Drosophila melanogaster: one gene and its partner. Changing the gene in region 1 together with any one later gene gives a genetic interaction. Each region holds a gene or a part of one and is shown on either strand. Other genes may lie near its edges. The genes, in order: IRSp53 and ena.

Evidence for each region.
Region 2: of IRSp53 (region 1) and ena, changing one enhances a phenotype caused by changing the other (phenotypic enhancement), as found in Drosophila melanogaster (one study listed by BioGRID).

What each region holds. Positions count from the first base shown.
Region 1 is NT_037436.4:11,133,968-11,137,895, forward strand, and holds the start of IRSp53 (insulin receptor substrate 53 kDa), read left to right. Parts: upstream 1-2,081; 5' UTR 2,082-2,321; intron 2,322-3,928. Other genes in the region: NaPi-III (Na[+]-dependent inorganic phosphate cotransporter type III), read left to right, coding at 1-33; CG14143 (uncharacterized protein), read left to right, coding at 1,030-1,374.
Region 2 is NT_033778.4:19,152,932-19,156,859, forward strand, and holds the start of ena (enabled), read left to right. Parts: upstream 1-2,289; 5' UTR 2,290-2,543; coding exon 2,544-3,436; intron 3,437-3,928. UniProt on the Drosophila melanogaster protein: Functions, together with Abl, trio and fra, in a complex signaling network that regulates axon guidance at the CNS midline. Required in part for robo-mediated repulsive axon guidance. May be involved in lamellipodial dynamics.

The DNA of each region.
Region 1 (3,928 bases):
GCCATCGCCGTGGACGACATGGGTGGGGCCTAAAGATGGAACAGAGATTGCCATTCAATTATTAATTGTAATTGCAAAACCAAAATAATGTTTCGTAATTGTACAAGTTGGAAAACACAAAACTTAAATATTAAACACGCAAAAGGAAACTCAAGAAAAAGTGGTAAAATCTTAACTAAATTACTCGCCTAACTAAAGCATTGTATTTAGCTCATAGAACGTCTCTGAGTCTAACTGATATTAATATTATTTAATATGTGTGTACGCCAAGCAAAGCCGTGATTTGATTTTATATCTATACACCTCGATTTGATTAGTTTATACCCGAACTTCACATTACTTAAAATGCATTTGAGACTCATTTGTAAAGTTAGTCCCAACCACTCAAGTTATTTTACACCAATTAATAGATCAGAGCAAAACATTTGAATAAAATACAAACTATGTGCAACAGAAAATGTTTATACGTTGTGGTAAGACCAATTTTTATTTTATATTATCTTTTTTTTTCGTGTCAATTTAAATTGCCGTCTTTATTTACAATTCGTACACTTGGTTCCAAGTTCGGTTCGTAACAATTCAAAACCTTATGTATAAGGCTCTCCAGTCCGATTTAAATTTACATTCCATTGAGAGTCAGTTCGTAAAGTATTTCACTATGTAGTTATACGGAAAATAAATACGAAGTTATGACACAAAAAAAAATCTTTTATTTCAATACTTTGGCTACCCACCCAACTTACATCCGTTTCTCTAAGAAATTAGTATTTTAAAAATAAATGAATGGCGTATAATTAAGTGAGCCTCTGTATAAATAGCCTAATTATACATTGCGAAAATGTGGTATTGATCTCTGTTTAAGCAACCCAAATTTACTAAAACATCACATTCCGATTCGATTTAAAACGACTGTTTGCTGTTTGCTTAGGGAAAACATATATGAGATCTTCCTCTTGATTTGGCTATATATACGCCAGCTTCGCCCAGAAAGAAGCACATCAGTCATAGCAGTCTAAAACATTGTTCAAGATGCGATCCCAGCTAACTATCTTCCTTGCCATCGCGGCTTTCGTTTCGACTGCCTGGGCACTGACTTCTCCCGCCACGGTCACTGTTTCATCGGTCACTGTTTCATCGGTCACTATTCCATCGGTCACTATTCCTTCGGTCACTATTCCGACCACTGATACAGACACGTCCACCACTTCGCCTTCGGCAACCGGAAGCAGCACCACCGTGACTCCCACCACCAAGAAACCAAAGAAGAAGGCTACCGTTGTCCACTACAAGAAGAAGACCCACAAGTCGAACCGACGCCGCAAGTTCCGCCACTCACGTGATGGAAAGAGGAAGAACCGATCGAGTTGGGAATAAGAAGGACATCTCGTTTGGAACACCGCAGACCCTGAAGATCTACATGAACGACCCACACGCACCTTGTTAATCCTAATGTTACTTTACTCTTATTAAGTTCGCAATATTTAAATAAAAACATATTTAAAATTTTTTGTTTAATTATTGGGTTTTGTTTTTTACAAACTATGCTTTCAAAAACTAAACAAGCATTAATTCCATATAAATACCATGCAGAAAACGATATAAAGCTAACTGATGGACTTATACTTAGAGGATTACTTAGTAATATGTGGAGTAGACTAATAGTTATGGTTCAATAGTTATTCTTGATTATTGTCATAAGTTTGCACTTTTGCAAAATGGCTTTTGAGAACTATATGCACATGTTTAACGTGGCGGATGAGTAATATTATTTCTTAGTACTTGTATATTTGGAATTAAACATTTTTTAGTCCACATACCATTGGGTCGGTGAAAGTCTGAAAAACACAACACTTAAGTAAATATTTAACTTTAAGATTGTTGTTAAAGATAAAACATAGTATTTCGGCTTATAGCTCGCTATAACTTCGGGCCAGAAAGATGTCAACTTTTTGGCTTAATCGAAATGGTCAAGAAAGCCCAACAAAAGTTTTGTTCCATGTGAAAAAGCTTTGGTGGGAAAGCTTTTGAGCGCGTGGCGCTCGAAGAAAACGGTAGCCGCAACTTGGAATCAGTTGAGTTTTAAGCTTCGATGCGTTCGGTTCGCTATTCCCGATACGGCGTGATTCTAAACAAAACAAAAAAAAAACCCGGTTTGGTTCACTCTAAACTCGTAACGATCCCAAAAATTCGACATTCGGAGTGCTAAGTGCTCGGATTTTTGAACCAAAACATAATTGTGAGAATTGAGAAACTTGCTTAGTGTCATTTTTGGATTTACACATTCGGATTTGTACTGAACACACATTTCTGGCGATTAAAAGGTAATGGTTTTGACTTTACTGACCTATCTATCCAACTATTCTATATCTATATTGTAATAACTGGGTGGGCGTGCAACTTCCGTTCAATATCCGGCCCACCTTTCTATTTGCCACTTTTCTATGAACACCACTTGCAGTTCAATGGATTTCCACTAGTACAAGTATTACTTAATTTCTTTGCTTAATCCGATTTGCGTGCATTGAACTTTTCATCTGGGGGTTTTTTTTTCCCTGTTGATGTTGTAGTCGCTGTTATTGTTTTTTATCTTTCGTTTTTTTTTTTGTGTTAGACTTTATTTTGCACCAACTTCTTGTGGTTGATTGTTTTTTTTTTTTTTTTGTTTCTCCATCTCAGTCTGGCGAGCCGAACGGCTTGTTCTCATTTTATTTAATGAGTTCCCCGGTATTTGAGCCTTTGTTTTGCATTGTTCGAAACCCTGTTTATTCAATAGGTTTAAAACGTTTCAGCCATTCAAGCCAAAGCGAAATTATTAGCAAGTGTATTTGACTTTAATGCGGCATTCTGAATGAAATGTTTGGTAGCCAAATTGTGTGTATTTAGGTTTTTGTAGTTTCTACACAGCACAATTGATTGTTTTCAATCCACTAAATGTCACGGCAATAATTTTGTAATATTTTAAATAGAAGTTGGAAACCTTTCAATAGTAGCAATATTTTTTGTTGTATTTTTTCTTATTTCTTGTAATAGAGTTATCATAGTGAACCAAAGATGTACTAAGTAATAGCTTTCTTCCGTTGGAATTCCCTGCTGACCACACAATATTATTAACTCTTTTAGCAAAATTAGAAACCAGTTAAACTCCAGCCAATCGTAGATCGATGTCAAATTTCTTAGCCCAGCATGTGCGACCCATTTAGGTTGGTCCATCAGCCACCTGCTCGATCTCCCGGACAGTTGACCGGGCTCATTATCCGACTACCAGCTAGCGGTTTTCCAAACTCAAAAGCCGATGCCGACACCTGAAGTTCGTAGACCCATTGGCAAATCCAAAACCAAAGCCCAACCCAAACCCAAAACCCAATCGCCACGAAAGCCACAAAGCCAATTCTGTGCAGAACAAAAGCCAAACGATCGGAGCCATTAAGCCTGGCCAAGAGTTTCCAGTTGGCCAAAAGTCATTAAAGACAAAAATCTATTGAAAACGGCAAACAACACGCCTTAAAAAATACCTTGGCTCTCGATGATGGCGATGGTGGGGTAAAGAAAAATATATTTCTGCTGCTGCACACGGCAGTTTGGCCAGGTGGTATGGATGTATAGATGTCATGCCCCGTCTCTAAAACCCCCAACCCCCACCACCACACCATGTTAATTACGCGCTTATCAGTTCGTTACAAACGCTGGAGTTTCTCTACATGCCAGGAGGAGAGTCCAGCACAACCGGCAATTACGTGTAGTGTCCAGCTCATAGGCCAAGTCGAATTCCACTGGCGTTCTAATTTCTTTGCTCTCTTTTTTGCTGCGATTAATCAAAATTGTATCTATCGGATGCAAAGGCGCTTCTGCGTATGTATGTGTGTACTGTAATTACTAGATATTCTGCATATGAGTACATAATGATAACCCTCGAAGCGATCCATTCGCG
Region 2 (3,928 bases), on another chromosome or scaffold:
TATTAAATGCGTCTATTTCGATCAGTGAAGTGCTCCCTAATTGCAGTACCATAATTGCCGGCTTATCGTGTGCATTAATCAAATCGAATTTCGGTGAAAGAACCGTTTTCGAAAAAAAAATGAAAAATCCTCCAAGAAAAGTTCTTATGTTTACCGGTACAAAATGAAACGAGTTCTGAGTTTACCCGGTCTTATTTGTGTTTGAGTTTAAGTCACCACGAATGTGGATATATGTAAATAAGTAAATATGAGTGGTTCGTCGGAACGTTCAACGTTAATCCTTTTGGCTACGAGCTTGATTGAAGTCGGTATCCATAAGCTGAATGGATCCCAACATATCGTCGTCACCTGTGCCAGTGGAATGGAAGGTCTGCGATGAGGTGCTGCAATGTGACCCAAATCCAGGCTTTGGTCGGTACTTATAAGTTAAGAAAAAAGTTGGTGTACAAAAAATGTGAATGAATGTATTTTAGATTAAATTTTTACCATCATAAACAAATTCGTTTACAGTTTCCTTTCTGAATTTGTGGTTTGCAACACCTTATAAGATCAACATAAATGTTGAAACTAACTGAGCACGGATTTTCTCGCAGTGCAGGCACGGCAGGAAGCGCTCCTCCCGTGACGAGTTCATCGCGCAGTGATATTCGATATTGATTGAGACCCCCACTTGTCCCCCAGCACTTCTTGATGTTTGCCATGGGCAAACTGTTTTGAGTCTCCTGACTGCCTGGCAACCTACTTTGTGACTCCGCTGCTCACATGTGTGGGCCCTGTTTGTTTTTATGATTTTTTTTTTTCCAGTCCGATGTCTGCCTGCGGGTCTTTATGGACAGCCATATGGATTACTCCAGTACTCGCATTCGTAGTGCCCCTTAGAAATATTTAGTTGCCAAATCATTTAAGCCGCGGCACACGCTCTGGTCCAAAAAAAAAAAAAAACAAAACAAAAATGGTAAAAAAAAAAAACGAACTGAACCATTCTGACAGAGCCATTAAAGCTAGCCGGTAATCGGTTGGCTCAAATCAGAGATCGGTGAACCACCAACAGCCACTACACAACCACTTACAATGGGCCACAATAATGTTAATTGGAAATAACGTTTAGGAATTGTTGTGGGGCAAAAAACCGAATCAGACTGAAACATAAGCCAGCGAGTCAGAAACAGAGGCTCAGATCTCTGAGAGCTGAGTGCTCCAAGTTGAGATAGACAATGTTGTATATGAATTTTTCATAACATGCTACAAGCTGTGCCTCCAGGTACCTCCCCCCCCCCATTTCCCGCCGCCGTCGCCGCTTTTCGCCGCCAAAGAACAGTTGAAATGAAGGAAACAAAAACGCAGCGAGCGAGGGAAAAATACTTGTAATAGTCACTCGAGGGGGAAATATAAATTATTGAGCTCGTTTCTTAAGTAATTATCGCACTGACGGACGGAACCAACTTACTGAATCACAAACACTGACCGAATGACTAACTGGCGGATGGACAGACTGACCAACTGGTTAAACGACGGTCACGAGACGTCGGCGAGGCTTCAAGATTGCCGGCAGAAAAAAGCCTCGGGCGCAACTTTGTAAGATTCGAGAGCTTATCGCATACCCTTCGAAACTGCATAAGAAATTTGAGATGGAACTTGCGCAATTTCATAGCTAGGCGAAAAGTTGTAAGGGTATGCCCTACAATTCATTGTATCATTGTAGCTCTCTGAAGATATTGCATATTTTAGGGAAACTGCTTGAAACTCTGTTTCAGTGCCTGAAAACTTCTCAAAATATAAACTTTTGAGTATTAAAATAAAATCGCCTTTCAATAATCTGAATCTTACATCCTTCCCTCAACGAAAATCGTGTAAAACGAGAACGTTTTTTCTCAATAGGTTCTATGCAGACTACTTGCCCTCACGTCTTTTAATTGTCATGCCATTTGGGAATCGTCTGAAGCGACTGTGAGTCAGGTTGTGGTCTCTCCATCTACCTGGCCATTATGCTCGGTTCCCAGCTCGGGGTCAATCCAGCTCAACATCCATAGCACATCTCATCATTTCTCATTATTTTATTGACTTTGAAGTGTAATTATTTGCCTTTTAGACGAATTCAAAGCGCAGCAGCCGCTAAAATGAGAGAAAAATACAGATTGTGAGCCGATACTCAGTTTCTCGCTCACGTCTTTTCTGCTCATTCGCCTTTAGATATATTTTTTTTCTCGGCTTTTGTTTGTCTTGGCCTCGACTGAGAGACCGTTTCGGTCTCTGAGACCCAGTCGCGATCTCGGTCTGGATCTTGGCTTTAGTCTCCAGCGGGTCTTGAGTGCGTTCAGACGTGTGCAGCTGAGATCTTGGAACGACGAATGGTGATCGGTGATCTCTGATCAGTGACCAGTGGGCAGAGAGCGAATAGCCAAGATCCAAGAGCCTAGGCAAACATAAATACGATACATCCGATCCGATCCGATCGTTCGGTTTCATAGTGTGCTTAAGTGTGGGATCGATCGTGGGATCTGTTTAGTGTCTGTGACGCCTCTGCAAATATTGGCCAACGGTTAATGGCCATGAAGAAGCTCTACGCGAAGACCTCGTTCACCAGCAAGAAGCCATCGAGTGCCGCCAATTCCACTCCGATATTGGCCTACCACCAGCAACAGCATCAGCAGCCGGGCAATGGCATTTGCGAGTTCCAGGTGGTGGCACCTGGTCACTCCGGTGAGCTAATGATACGCCGCAGCCAAAGTATGCACCACAAGATGTCGCCTCCAGTCGGCGGCCTGGGCTCCAAGTCGGAGTACTACAGCATTGAGGAGCTGCAGGAGCTGGATTTGCTGGACTATCGTCATCCCATGTACCATCATTATCAGCAGCAGGAGCTGAGGCAGCGCTACCATGAGCACGAGCAGTTGGTGCTGCAGTTACCCAAGGCTACTAGTCCAAAGGCAGGACCCATCTATGAGGCACCACAGAGATCTCAGCAGCAGCAGGATCAGATGTTGTATGTACCAACGGCAGCGCAAAGAGATTCATCATCAAGTGCTGCAGCCACATCTATAGCCAGCTCATCTACCCTAACTTCATCCCCATCGCCATCCTCCTCTTCATCTCTGATCTTTTCCACTTTGCGCAAATGCGTTTCGCCCTCGAATCCCTCGGTGAATCCGAACCAACCCTCAAAAACTCAACCCTCCAAACTGGGCTGTTCCATGTCGTTTTCAATTAGAACGACAACGGCAACAGCAGCCACAGCCGCAGCAGCAAATGCAGCAACAGCAACACTATCGACACAGCAGCAACAACAGCAGGCACAGCAGCAACACAAGCAACATCTCTATAGCAACATACATCATTATCTGATCCGACAACAACAGCAGAAACAACACTACACATTACAACGTCGCCATAATTCGGTCAAAGATAAATTCATTGGGGGCATTACAACGATTTTTGCGTATGTGTAACCCACTTCCCTATGCGTCTGTCCTTGGTTGGGTTCTGTAATAATTCCCATATTTCCCCACTTTTCTCTACTATACTTCTTCAATCTCAGCACGTAGTACTTGGCCCTGGACTTTTGAATGCGTTTTACAGCTTGGTGAGATCGTTCGTAAATCAAAGAACTCTTAACCCCCACAGAGCAGCCGCCGTCGTACTCTCCGGTTTAATCATAATTATAATTTAACGCCAATTAAGCTGGAAAACGCTATCGTGTGCACACGAATCTGCATCTTGCACTCGGCTGCAGTTTAAAAACTTAAGCTTAACGCACGAATAAATCCCCAAGGCATAGAAAATTTCACCTGCCACATATTGAAAATGCTCCCAAAGCGATTTTCCAGTGGCTCAATTATATTAGCATCCCATTTAACTGGCCATTTGCGGGGCACTTTTCGATTTTCATTTGGGTTTTCCACTCAGCTGCACAGCGCAAAAAAACGATTAA